3 linked regions of the Coturnix japonica genome follow. The protein of the gene in region 2 interacts with the protein of the main gene of each other region in a biochemical or structural test. Links are inferred from orthologs where the notes say so. Each region holds a gene or a part of one and is shown on either strand. Other genes may lie near its edges.

The links.
Region 1: of the proteins of FGA (region 2) and FAM20C, one has a biochemical effect on the other in vitro, tested with the Homo sapiens proteins (2 studies listed by IntAct). The link is inferred for Coturnix japonica from reciprocal best matches to the Homo sapiens genes FGA and FAM20C.
Region 3: the proteins of FGA (region 2) and PLAT form a complex in vitro, tested with the Homo sapiens proteins (2 studies listed by BioGRID). The link is inferred for Coturnix japonica from reciprocal best matches to the Homo sapiens genes FGA and PLAT.

Annotation. Positions count from the first base shown.
Region 1 is NC_029529.1:1,831,555-1,835,744, reverse strand, and holds the start of FAM20C (extracellular serine/threonine protein kinase FAM20C), read right to left. Parts: upstream 2,827-4,190; 5' UTR 1,816-2,826; coding exon 1,295-1,815; intron 1-1,294. UniProt on the Homo sapiens protein: Golgi serine/threonine protein kinase that phosphorylates secretory pathway proteins within Ser-x-Glu/pSer motifs and plays a key role in biomineralization of bones and teeth.
Region 2 is NC_029519.1:18,074,347-18,078,523, reverse strand, and holds the start of FGA (fibrinogen alpha chain), read left to right. Parts: upstream 1-1,247; 5' UTR 1,248-1,303; coding exon 1,304-1,354; intron 1,355-3,140; coding exon 3,141-3,269; intron 3,270-3,986; coding exon 3,987-4,170; intron 4,171-4,177. UniProt on the Homo sapiens protein: Cleaved by the protease thrombin to yield monomers which, together with fibrinogen beta (FGB) and fibrinogen gamma (FGG), polymerize to form an insoluble fibrin matrix. Fibrin has a major function in hemostasis as one of the primary components of blood clots.
Region 3 is NC_029537.1:4,078,690-4,082,336, forward strand, and holds part of PLAT (tissue-type plasminogen activator), read right to left. Parts: intron 3,563-3,647; coding exon 3,431-3,562; intron 3,078-3,430; coding exon 2,964-3,077; intron 2,072-2,963; coding exon 1,897-2,071; intron 1,339-1,896; coding exon 1,247-1,338; intron 999-1,246; coding exon 824-998; intron 491-823; coding exon 405-490; intron 37-404; coding exon 1-36. UniProt on the Homo sapiens protein: Converts the abundant, but inactive, zymogen plasminogen to plasmin by hydrolyzing a single Arg-Val bond in plasminogen.

The sequences.
Region 1 (4,190 bases), on a different chromosome or scaffold from region 2:
TAGACTGCATCATGTTGCAAACATCTCTTACAAGTTGGACCCAAAGCAAAGCATCGTCCTCAAGTTTTATTTAACAGAGCTGGGGCTGGAAGTCAGTGCAGCAGAAAGCTGACCTGTTGGACCCAATGTTCCCCCTCCTTCCTTTTAATCAGGAAGAATAAGAAGAAACCAGCTCAGCTGAACCTGCTGCTAAAGAGAAACTTGGGGTGGGTCGCCCCTTCCTTAGCAGCACCATACTGATATGGAAAAGGACTGTGAGAACAACATGTGAATGCTACATTTCATGTTTGCTCGGGGAACTTGGGGGGAAAACACACAGCAGCAGCTGCATTATGGCCATTAGGGACAGCTTTGCCCTCCACCTATGTGACACAGCCACACTTCTCCCACCCCAAAGCCTCCCATGCTTTTAGCCATCATTCCATGTTCTGCCATTGGTCTTTTATTCTCAAGGAAACCAGAACTTTGTCAGTTATTTCCCTTCACAGATGCTTCTGTTAAGCAGAAGGGCCTGGACCACTGACATGTGCAGGGGGTAGAAATCAGAGATATCTGTCCTCTCCGTCTGAATGTTCGGATCCCATTGGAAGCTCTGCAGCTTCACAGAGCTTTTGCTCGGTACAATGCAGCTGTTTAAACACTACAATGTCAGTGTGTTTGGAAGAGGGTGCTGTTGGATTAGACAAGCCTTTGGATTTCTCACTCATTGAGATTTCCCAGCGTTTCCCACCAGCCAACAAACCATTCGCAGAGGCAATAGAGCACTCTGAAGGCTGGAGGGCTGCGGAGGTGCCAGGACACTGGGAATTAATTGAGGATGAAAACTGGAGCACCGATCAAAGCCTGAAGACAGAACTTTGTGACATTAGACCTTACTTTAGAGAAAAGTGAGGCTGTTGGTGGCGGGACGGACTGCTCAGCCCCTGCAAATGAGAAGGTGCAGGGCAAGGGGGTTGTGCTGTGTCTGAGCCTGGCCTCCCACTGTTTCTCTGCTAGCATCTGCCTCTGGCTGCAGCTGCAGGCAGCATCCCGGGGACCCTCTGCTCCCGACACTGCCGCGTTACGTCCCGTATTTCGGGGCTAATTTGGAAGGAAGACAACGGCTGACGTCTGCAGACGGTTCCGCTCCATTTCTCATACCCCTGAAGCCCGAATCCCTCCCTTTCACCCCGAGCCGTGACACCCAATTCTTCGGGAACACCCCCGGAAAAAGGCAGCTCAGCAGGGCAGCACCGCGCCGCGTTCCGCCCCGACCCCGCGCCCCCTCCTCCCCCCCCACTTCCCCGATCCTCACCACTCGCTCTGCTCGGCCGCCCGCGGGTTGAACCTGATGTCGCTGTTGACATTGAAGAGGAGGTCGCCGTCGGTCAGCGGGGGCAGGGCGGCGCGGTACAGCGGGTGCTGGAAGAGGGCGGCCAACGGCGCGGCTTGGGCGGGGGGCGGCGGGCGCGGGGCTCCGGGCGCGATGAGCCGCCGAGGCCGCCCCGCCGCCCCCCCGTCCCCGCCCGCCGCCGCCGCCGCCGCCGCGTCCCCTCCGCCGCCCGCCGCCCGCTCCGCCGCCTCCCGCGACTGCGAGGAGAGGTTGGAGGCCGGCTCGGCGCTGAAGTCCTGCAGGATCCGCAGCGTGTGTTTGCTGGGCCAGCGCGGGGCGGCGCGGGGCGGCGCGGCGGGCGGAGGGCAGGAGCAGCCCGGGCGGCCCTCGGCACCGCGGCGCTCCAGGCGAGGCAGCAGGTCGATCATGATGTGCATGGTGCAGGCGACGAGGAACACCATGAGGATCAGCACCCGGAACTTGCGGACCAGGAGCATTTTCATGGCCGGGAGCGGCTGATGAATTAGCGGGGGAGGGAGGGAGGGGAGGCGGCGGGGTCGGCCGGCAGCGGGAGCGGGTCTTCCGCCCCCCCCGGGGCTCCGGCGCTCTCCTGGCGGGTCGAGCAGCGAGCGATCAAGTCAATAAAGTTATCTCCATAGGCGCCGCGACAGAAAGAGGCTAAAAGCGATAGGTCCTCATTTCTCAGTATCATCAAGAACTTGGGAGGGGGGAGGGCGGGGGGGGAGGGGGGGAAGGAATCGGGGAAAAAAAAAATAATAATAATCGAAAAAGGAGCCTTTAAAATCGGTAGGAAAACAAAGGCAGCGGCACTGCGATATCTAGAGCCATCTGTTCGCGGTTTCTCTCGCTTTTTTATTACGGGGATCACAACAAATAAGGAGAGCTGGTTCTGGAGAAGAAAGGCGTCTGGCGTTGGCTGCGATTAAATCATAATCGTTCAAAAAATGACGGGAGGAGGAGAGGGAGAAAGAATATTAAGAAGAAACCTGTACGGCAGCGACAGAAGGAAAAAAAAACATCCATAACGTTTGGCAGTGCAGGAAACGCTGACTCCTTCCTTTTCAATGTGCCAGTGATGCAGCAGAAGCGCTCTCCGCTCGCTCCCTTCTCTTCTGTGAGACTGCTTAAGAACATTGGCTGCAAAATCATTTTCTCCGAGCGGTTCCAGTTCCTTCATCCATCGCTTTGTCCGCCGCTCGGGAGAGATGAGCGCTCAGCTGAGATCCAGCCGGTGTGGCTGCCTGTATCCGAACTGGGCTTGCCTTGGCGTGGGTTGGGTTTTTTTTGGCTGCAAAACTGTCGGATGGCACAACTGCAACATAAAGGTTAAATATGGCACAGGGAAAGAAAGAAACGAGGGGGGGGGGGGGGAGGGGAAGGATTAGGGAAAGAAACTAATAGAATTCGGTTAGCGGTTCTATATAGCAAAGAGGTCCCGTCTTTGATCTCTGCTGGGTCCTACAGATCTGCCTTTAGAGAAGAGAAGAGAGGAAGGGAGGGGGGGAGGGGGGGAGAGGGGGGAGAGCTGCATGGCAGGTGCAGAGTGAAAACTCTTTCAGCCACACTGGGTTCTGGAGACGGGTGGAGGGTAGCTCTGCAGCTCCAGATTTCCAGTGGGTGTGTTAAATATTATGAGCGAGCCATGATTCCTGCCTTCCTCACGTCACAGTTCGGAGATTGGCTAAATAACGCTACAGTGATAGTAACAGAAAACCTCAACCAAAAGTGTTTTTTTTCCTTCTCCTCCTCTCCTCCCTCTTACCCACCCCACCCCCGCCAACCCCTCATTCTACTGCAGCTCCAAGCGGAGCAAGGAGAGGGCGTCTGTTCCACGAAGGTTTGCAAAATAGAATTTTAAAGAAGATGATGATAATAACGAGCGGTGACGGAGAGGGGAGTCTGCAATAACGTTGCAAAGTGTTGCACGCGTTGCGGGCCGTGCTGGGAGCGGCGGTTCTGCTCCGTCATTGCGGGGTTGCAGGGTGGGCACGGTGGCTCCCCTCGAGCTCAGCCCCGAACCGCTGCAAAGTCAGGGCGGAACGCTGTGCGCTGCTTCCTTCGGCCGAGCAGTGTTTATTTTGTAATCCCACATCCCGTGGGTTGTGATAATCCCGAGGTAATCCGCGCTCTCTGCCTGCTGGTGGCCACAGGGCAGCGCCCCGTGGGTGGTGGGAGTGGGTGCTGGAGGAGGGGACGGGTCACTGCGGTCCTGGAGAGGTGGTGAGGTGTGCTCAGGCTGCTGGCTTTTGTGTGCGCCACGACTCTCCTGTGCTTATTAGCGAGGCTTAATAAGCTTTAAGTGGGGATGCAGCAGGAAAGATAAAGGTATGTGCTTCTGCCCAGCCACCACCACCCTTACATGGAATCAGAGAATGGCCTGGGTTGAAAAGGAGCACAGTGCTTGTCTAGTTCCAAACCCCTGCTATGTGCAGGGTCGCCAGCCAGCAGCCCAGGCTGCCCAGAGCCACATCCAGCCTGGCCTTGAATGCCTGCAGGGATGGGGCATCCACAGCCTCCTTGGGCAACCTGTTCCAGTGCATTACCACCCTCTGGGTGAAATTCTTTGCATAGGATCCTCTCAAAGCTGATTGGGATGGCCCGTTTTCCTCAGGATTAACCAACATTAAATACTGCCTTCCTCCCTTCAGAAGTGTTTTTTACCTCTGGATCCATCCAGCACCATTCCCCCATTGGGAGCTTCTGCAGGGCACACTGCACTCCCCTGGAGCACACCCATGTACTGACAGCAGCACCCTGCTCTGCAAAATGGAACTCACAGCTTGTGCTCAAAGTTAGTGCTTTAGCTCCTCCAGGGAGAACACATTGCTTTGTTTCAACTGAGGAACCCACCTCTACT
Region 2 (4,177 bases):
TTCTTTTAAATAACTCATCACAGTCCTGCAATTCTTCCTCTTGTTGTGATCTTTTCACCCTATAAGCATTTTATTGTTGTCTGAGCTTTTTATGATTCTTTAAGATTGTTATAATTCTTTCACAGCACCATTACAAAAGAGTGAACAAAACTGCACAGGACTCGGACTGGGAAGGCATCTTCAGTCTTGCTGCTGAGATTAGCAGTGGACTATGTATGTGTGCCATTGAACTAATGCACACAATCATAAAAATAACACTTTTACAAAATTACATGCTAGGATAGCTTAGAATGGCAGTGGAGCATTTATGTGCGTAACTTTTGTCTGCTTTGAGTTCAGGAGCTTCCTTATGGACAGAACAGACATGGCTGGCTGATCCTCAGACAGTAAAGATAATGTGGAGTCTGCTCAGACCTGGGTTGCTGAAGTTAGCTGAGCTCTTCTGCTTCTGAAATGAGAAGAATTTTGTTATTTTGTTGTATTGTGGTATTAGTGGCACTGCACAGAATTCAACAGAACACTTCACAAAAGGAGCTGCAGGAAATTAAGATCAACAAAAAACTTTCTTTCCAAGTATGCACGGGTAAGATTTTGCCTTAAATATAACAGAAACCTCCAGTCATACAAATGATGGTGTAGGTGTAAATCAGTGACTTAAATCAACGTAGCACCATCCTATCGATCTGCTCTGTTCCTTGTAACTTGAGAATACAACTCACTGTTAGTGTTGTTTACATGAGTTCCGTTCTAATTTAAGAGGGTTTACGGAGACAAGAGAAGCATGCAATGCAAAGCCAGACATGGGAGGAAACAAAAGGTAGTACACTAGTACTTGCTTCCGAAGGCCCAATGGTTTTCATGAGCATGGAGCTTCAAAGAAAGGGCAATGCCTTTTTTTTTTTTCAAATATCAACTGCCTGATTGTATTCGCTAAATTCCCGCCACACAACATGTGTTTTCCATTAGTTAAGTATTGCTGGCTCCTGCTAGGACCCACATACACCCTAGATGAACAACAATTTACAAGAAATCAAGCTTGAAGCTGATATGCTTTTTTTTTTCTTTCCTGGAATACATGGTGTTGCCCTCATGGTGGTGCTGTACAAATTTATCTGGAGCAAATAACACCAGAAACTTGTGCAAGAGGCCTTATGTAATCGACTCAGGACATTTGACATGTTTTGTCTCCAAACAGAAGGGAGAATAATGATTAATCTCTGCTCTTCAGCAAGGTTTAAATTGCATCAAAAAGACCAGAGGAGAGAATCCTCTCATCCACAGTTCTGCTCGCTCTTCTCCGAAGATGATACCAGTGAAGATACTCTGTGTGTTGCTCTGCCTCAACTTAGCTTGGGTATGAGTTTCCTTACTTCATTATTTCCTTACCTTGCTGATTTGAAGAGTAAGAGTTTATTTAATCTGCATGAATTAGATGCATGTTTGCTGGCACCTATCTTGTCAAATTCAGTGCACACACATACGCACAAGCCTAGTGTGACTACTTCACTGCTGCTCTTTCATGACAGCAGTTCTTGTATATCCAGTTCTGTTTTGATTAATTCAGTCTTGTTGTACCCGCCTGCCTTCTGCAAAGCAAATAACACGAATTCATAGATTCACAGGTGCTGCTGTGAGCCTTAAAGCTGGCTGAATTGGATGCTGGAGGCTCCAGACAGTCAGGAATTTTCAAGTTTATTTTAATTCTACTTTCCTTTTCTACTTCCTCAGTTTGCTTCAACTGCACTTTCTAGCTACAAATGATGCACAATGGCTTTATTATGAAATTCCGATTTGAAAACAGTGATTCTTATGGCAGCAACATCAAATTAAACTAGAATGCAAGCAAGATGACAATAGATTATGGTCTATTATATTGCAACACATAATGAAACATTTATTACCTAAGATAAGCAAGAAGAAATTTTTAGATGAGGAAAGTGATAATCATAATTTTCAACTATACTAACATATCCTTGACATTTTTTCACTTATGTTTCAGCCATTAATCTCATGTTAGTCTTCTTTACGACTGTATTTTGAAGAAAGTAAATGCTCTCACAAATTGCAGAAATTATGGGGAGCAGATCTGGCTAAACACAAGCAGTTCTGCCGGAGCTGCCAGTGCTTAAAGGGCACAGACGACCTAAAATTAAATATTTTATTTGTTATTTTAGGGGACTCTTTGGCCAAGATGAATTGAACCAATGTGAAACTGCTGAGTTAAATAATGACATTCCAGTTCCACAGGGCTGAGGTTCTGGCTCTGAAGGCTGTAATTAGGAACACTCTCTCTGCATGTGAATTAATCATACATCTTTTTTGGCATGAATTATACTGTTTGTTAAGAACGTAATGCATATGAAGAAAAACCTAGGCAGACCTAATTAGATCTCAAGCAATCTCCTTTACATTTTATGAAAAAGAATTATTTTCCAGTTCTTTACTAAGCAATAATGCAGTAAGAATCCTTACAGCATGTTGGTTTAGAATTAGCTGGTATAATTGCACTTTGGTTTCTCAGATTTCAAGAAAAATCTCAGTTCATTTATTTCTGTTCCTTCCATTAACAAAGTGCAAACCATCCATCACTGACATTATTATTTTCATTACAATGCTATTAGTATTCTTGTTCTTTATGTCAGGCAAAACAGTGCTAGGAGCTTATAGGACTAAAAACAGAAACACTAATGAATGGAAATAGTAAATTCATGCATATCTTCAAGCCAGTTTTGAGTAGGCAGAAGGAATAGGATGAAAACAAAAATTTAAGAATATGAAAGCAAGTGAAAATGGAATGAAGATGTTTCAAAGTTAACTTAAGTAACTTCAATCTAATTTCAAGCTAATTTTGCATTTACATACAAAGCTCAGGATTATCTTGTAAAGATATCATCATTATCATCATACTCTAAGCACCATCCATTCTCCATATGAGCATTAATTTTAAGAGTGGAAAAGCTTTATTCTTACAAAACAAACAAAACCATGTCTTACAAGAAACGCCTTGCCACTATTGGATGATGCATTCCACAAGGCTGCAGTGCTACTGAGTGCTTGAGGATGTCAGCTTTTCATTTCCATTTTCTTGACCAGTGCTCCAACACTCTCAGTTTTGCTCTTCTCTTTACTCCTCCCGGCAGGCTCAGGATGGGGAGACCACCTTTGAAAAGGAGGGAGCAGGTGTGCGTGGCCCCAGGATTGTGGAGCACATGCAACAGTCCTCCTGCAAGTATGAGAAGAACTGGCCGATCTGTGCGGACGATGACTGGGTGAGCAATGAGCCATAGGGACAGCAGGGCACACAAGGACCCCTGCCCTTGGTTTAGGAGGTCTGATGACAAGATGTTCAGTAAAAGCTTCCCAATGGCTGACTGAATGTCTGTGTATGAACTGTTGGTTTGTCTCTCTCTTGCCTCCTGCATCTCAACTCATATCTATGCTACATTTAGAAGATGCAATCTTGCCTAAGAGTTATAACGTATAAGAGCAGGGGATTTTCTGAGGATAATTCTGCTTAAATGAATGAGCCTAGGTCACCCTTGATCAAGCTGGATCTAACTTCCCTTTACAGCAGCCCTTTGGGAAATAAATGTGGTGAGATTATTGTTTTGCTTTTATTATTGTTGTTATTAATATTGTTATTGTTATTTTTTGTTTTGTTTAATTTTGTTTCTACTCTTAAGGAACAGAGGAAAGTGAAAATTAAAGGTTCCTTTGTCACCACTTGAAACAGGATTCTATGCATACATTTCAGCAATTCCAATGCACCAGTGTCAGAGGTGCAAGATGTGAAGGGGTCAGCCGTGAGGTGTCCTGCTCCAAGTCATACAAGCCCTTGTCAAAGTCATTGGATGGATAGGACAGAAGAAGTCACATAATACTGCCCTAAGTCATATTAGAGTGTTTTAATTGCTGGGTATTGATTTAAAAAACAAAAAGACAGATTCATGAAGATTTTAGCACAATTATTTCTCTTCCTCTTTTAGGGTATAAAATGTCCATCAGGCTGCAGAATGCAAGGATTAATTGATGACACAGACCAGGATAACAGTCACAGAATAGACAAAATTAGGCAGCAACTCGCAGACAGTCAAAATAACTATAAAGCATCCAATCGGGTAATTGTGGAAACCATAAATATACTAAAGCCTGGTCTGGAGGGTGCCCAGCGTAAGTA
Region 3 (3,647 bases), on a different chromosome or scaffold from region 2:
ACTGGCGTGTTCTCCGCTGCCGTAGACCACAGGTGGCTGTAGGTGACAAACACAGAAATATCTTTTTTGTTCAGGGACTCTTGCATTAAGTTAAGGTTAAGAGCCTGCTGGCTATCAATGCATACTGAGGCAGCCTTGCATGAACTGCTCGGTATCTGACTCATTCCTGTTTCCTAGGAAACTTATATTGATTTGAAAAACACATTAAAGAAACCCTGTCTTTCCTATTTCCTCGTTCTGTGATCATCTCCTCGGGGGCAGAGAAGGTACTTCTGTGACAGCTGAGCTACAGAATCCCTTTTTATCCTAAGGAGCTTGTTTTCCCCATCACTTATTTTGCTATAAGAGGCTTCCAACATACAGTACAGAAGAAAGAGCAGCATCAGGAGTGCTGGGATCCTTACAGCAAGTAGGCACATCGCAGTACTCCCATGTGAGCTGTTTTCCTTTTAGTACGTGGCACCAGGGCTTGCTGTCGTTGTCAGGATTCCTGCAGTACAGGAAGGAGAAGAAAAACTTGTATTGTCAGATCTGCAGAGTTTAGCGAGAAGGAGACACTTAAGGACAGCAGATGGGGTTCTGAGTGTACTCCTTTTGATCTTTTTAGTGACACAGAGGGCATGTTAAATTTTCATTTATGGTGTTAGAGAAGTATAGGCAGACCAAGTGGAATGAAAATTACCATTAGCAGTGAGTTTGATTCCCAGCCATAACATCCTTACTGTGTTTTGTAACTCATGTAAACAACTAGAGCCCTGCCTCAACATTACCACAAGGAAACTTACTGTTTGTTTTTAAGTTCACTGTACCACTGAATACATACCTGCAGAAATTGTGACTGCCAAGGCCCAGCTGGTAAGCATCTCTTCTCCAAGCAGTATATAACTTGCTGACAATGATTAGAGAATTCCACCTCAGACAGGTAGCTCCAGAACTGGTAACACTGTGACTACCTCGGTAATCTGTGCCTCTTCCAGTTTTGCAATTGATGTTTCCAACTTAAATAAGAAAACTGCATATGTTACATGGCGCATGTGAACCATCAGCTGCTCCAATTGTGATTTCTGTCAAGACTTCTATATACTAGCTATACTTCTCTCAGGCTCTGTAGTAAATATTAAAACCTTAAACATGATTTAACATAAGAATATGTTAACTGTTGATTTTCACAAAGACACAGATAACTCTTAGAGCTGCTATGACTCACTATATATCTAAAGCCCATTCTCTGTCCTCCTGCATGTACCTTTTGAACAGGAGGGCACACTGCAGTGTTCCCAGGTGTACTTTCCCCCTTTGTAGATGTAGCACCAAGGTCTGGAGTCCTCATCTGGGTTTCTGAAAGAGTTATGACATTATGCATCATTATAAAGCTATAATTACTAGTCTCAGGTGTGCCATCTAGTTTGGTAACTTGATTGTGCTTAGCAGTGAAGGGGTGAACTGAACCTGCAGAAGTAATCTGTATTCTTATTTTAGTTAGAAAAGCATGGAGGTGAGGATGAGATGGCCAGTAGCAAGAGTGGATAGCTTGTTTGTGCAGTTTAGATCACGTGCAGGAAGCTCTGCATTGTAGAGTTTTAAGGAGTGTCTAGAGCTACAGGCAAATGTGACAGGAAACTGGCTTGTAACAGGAGTTTTTAACACTAAGAAGGAAGCAGTGGGCACAAGGGAAAGGCTATGGAGTGAGAGAGGCGTGCATCTTTGTAGTCTGTCAAACATCCACTCTTAGATGGTTCAGAAATAGAAATCTATCAGTTGCTGCTCTTGGACATGTTTGCACCTGTACGCAGTGTTCTATGGTTGGTACTAAGCTTTTACAAATAGCCTTTTTTGCCCTAAGCTCTTGAAATAATCAGATTCTTACAGCTCTAATGTGTGCTGTGAGCCCCTCACCTGCAATAGTTGTGATTGCCCAACCCCAGCTCAGCAGCATCCTTTCTTTGGCCACTGTATTTACGGTCCATCAAGCCACTGATGATCCAATTCAGGCATTCAGCTCCACTCTCTGTTATGCTCCATGTACCCCTGTATGTTACTCCAGCATTTTTGTAGCACTTAGCTTCAGTATCTGAGCAAAAGGGAACAAAAAACAGCATCACAAATTCTGCTTTCTCTGACTGTGCTCTGTTTAAAGTTAGCTCCAGATGCCTTGTAAGTCAGGGCAATATCTTTCCAAGCAAGCTCTGCATATACATGAATGTCTTTGTCTTCAAAACTTAGTATTTTATTAAGAGGACAGAGAACCATGGAGTAGCTTGAGTTGGAAGGGACCTTAAAGACCATCTAGTTCCAGCCCCCCTGCTGTGGACAGGGTTGCCAGCCACTAAATCAAGCACTAGATCAGGCTGCACAGGCCCCATACATCTTGGCCTTAAACATCTCCAGGGACAGGACATCCACACCTTCTCTGGGCAACGTATTCCAGCACCTCACCACTTTCTGAATGAAAAATATCCCCCTGACATCTAATCTAAGCCTTCTCTCTTCTAGTTTAAAACCATCCTTGCCCTATTGTTATTAGTCAGTATAAAAAGTCTGTCTCCCTCCTGACAGTACTGGAAGCTCCTATAAAGTACTGGAGGGCTGCAATGAGGTGTCCACGGAGCCTTTTCTTCTCCACGCTGAACAAACTCAATGCTCTTGTCCTGTGTTTTTAGGAGAGGTGCCCCAACCCTCTACTCATCTTTGTGGTCCTCCTCTAGACTCACTCCAATGTTTCTACATCGTTATTGTGCTGGGGGCCCCAGATCTGGATGCAGTTTCCCACCTGAGGCCTCATGAGACACAGAGAAACCCACGTGTCCTTTTCTAAACTTGTTTGTAGCATTAGCTTTACCACAAAAAGAGGCAGCTTAGTGGAGAGACCTCCATACAGCAGTGGTTTCTAAGTACCTAATCCTTCTGCACCACACAGCTAAAACCAGCAGTGTTGTTCCCAATAACTGGAGCAGCATACTTGCCTATTTCACACTGCTTCCCAGAGAAACCGTGGTGACACTGGCAGATGAAGAGCTGTGGGGAGTAATATGCCTGTGAACACTGGCCCCCATTGTAGCATTTATTTCTAGTGCAGGCTGTGGAATAAACAAAAGCCAGGAAACAGTTAGAATTCACAGAAGTAAGCAGCTGGCAACATGCCCCCCTCCTCCTGCTGGTCTCCTTCAGCCTGTTCTGCTTTCCCCTAATATGTGTATATCATGTTCGACTCTTCCTTTGCTCCATTCTTTCCATTAATGGTATCATAAGCTTTTCTCAGCCTCTTGCCCATTCCTCCTTAGTACTGCCTGAGTCAGTGTATACTGATGCTTTCATTTCAAGCCAAGTTTTTTGTGATCGCTCCTTCCCTGACAATGGAGTTTTTCTTTAGGATGATTAAATGGATAGTCTGTTATCTCCCACCCTTTCCATTCTTTTTCTTCATACTCACCTCTGATGGGCACAGTGTGGCAGTAACTCCGACCACTGTCACACCTACAATATTCTATTCTGCTCCCTGAGAGTCTCAGCCAGCTCCCCCTGTGCTGGTATATTTGTCCAGATGAACTGTCTGTGCAAATGGCTGTAATTGGAGAAAGGGAATCCTTTTAGAGATTCACGGAAAACACATTGCTGAGCAAAATAACTTATTCTTGCTGAGGTAAAAC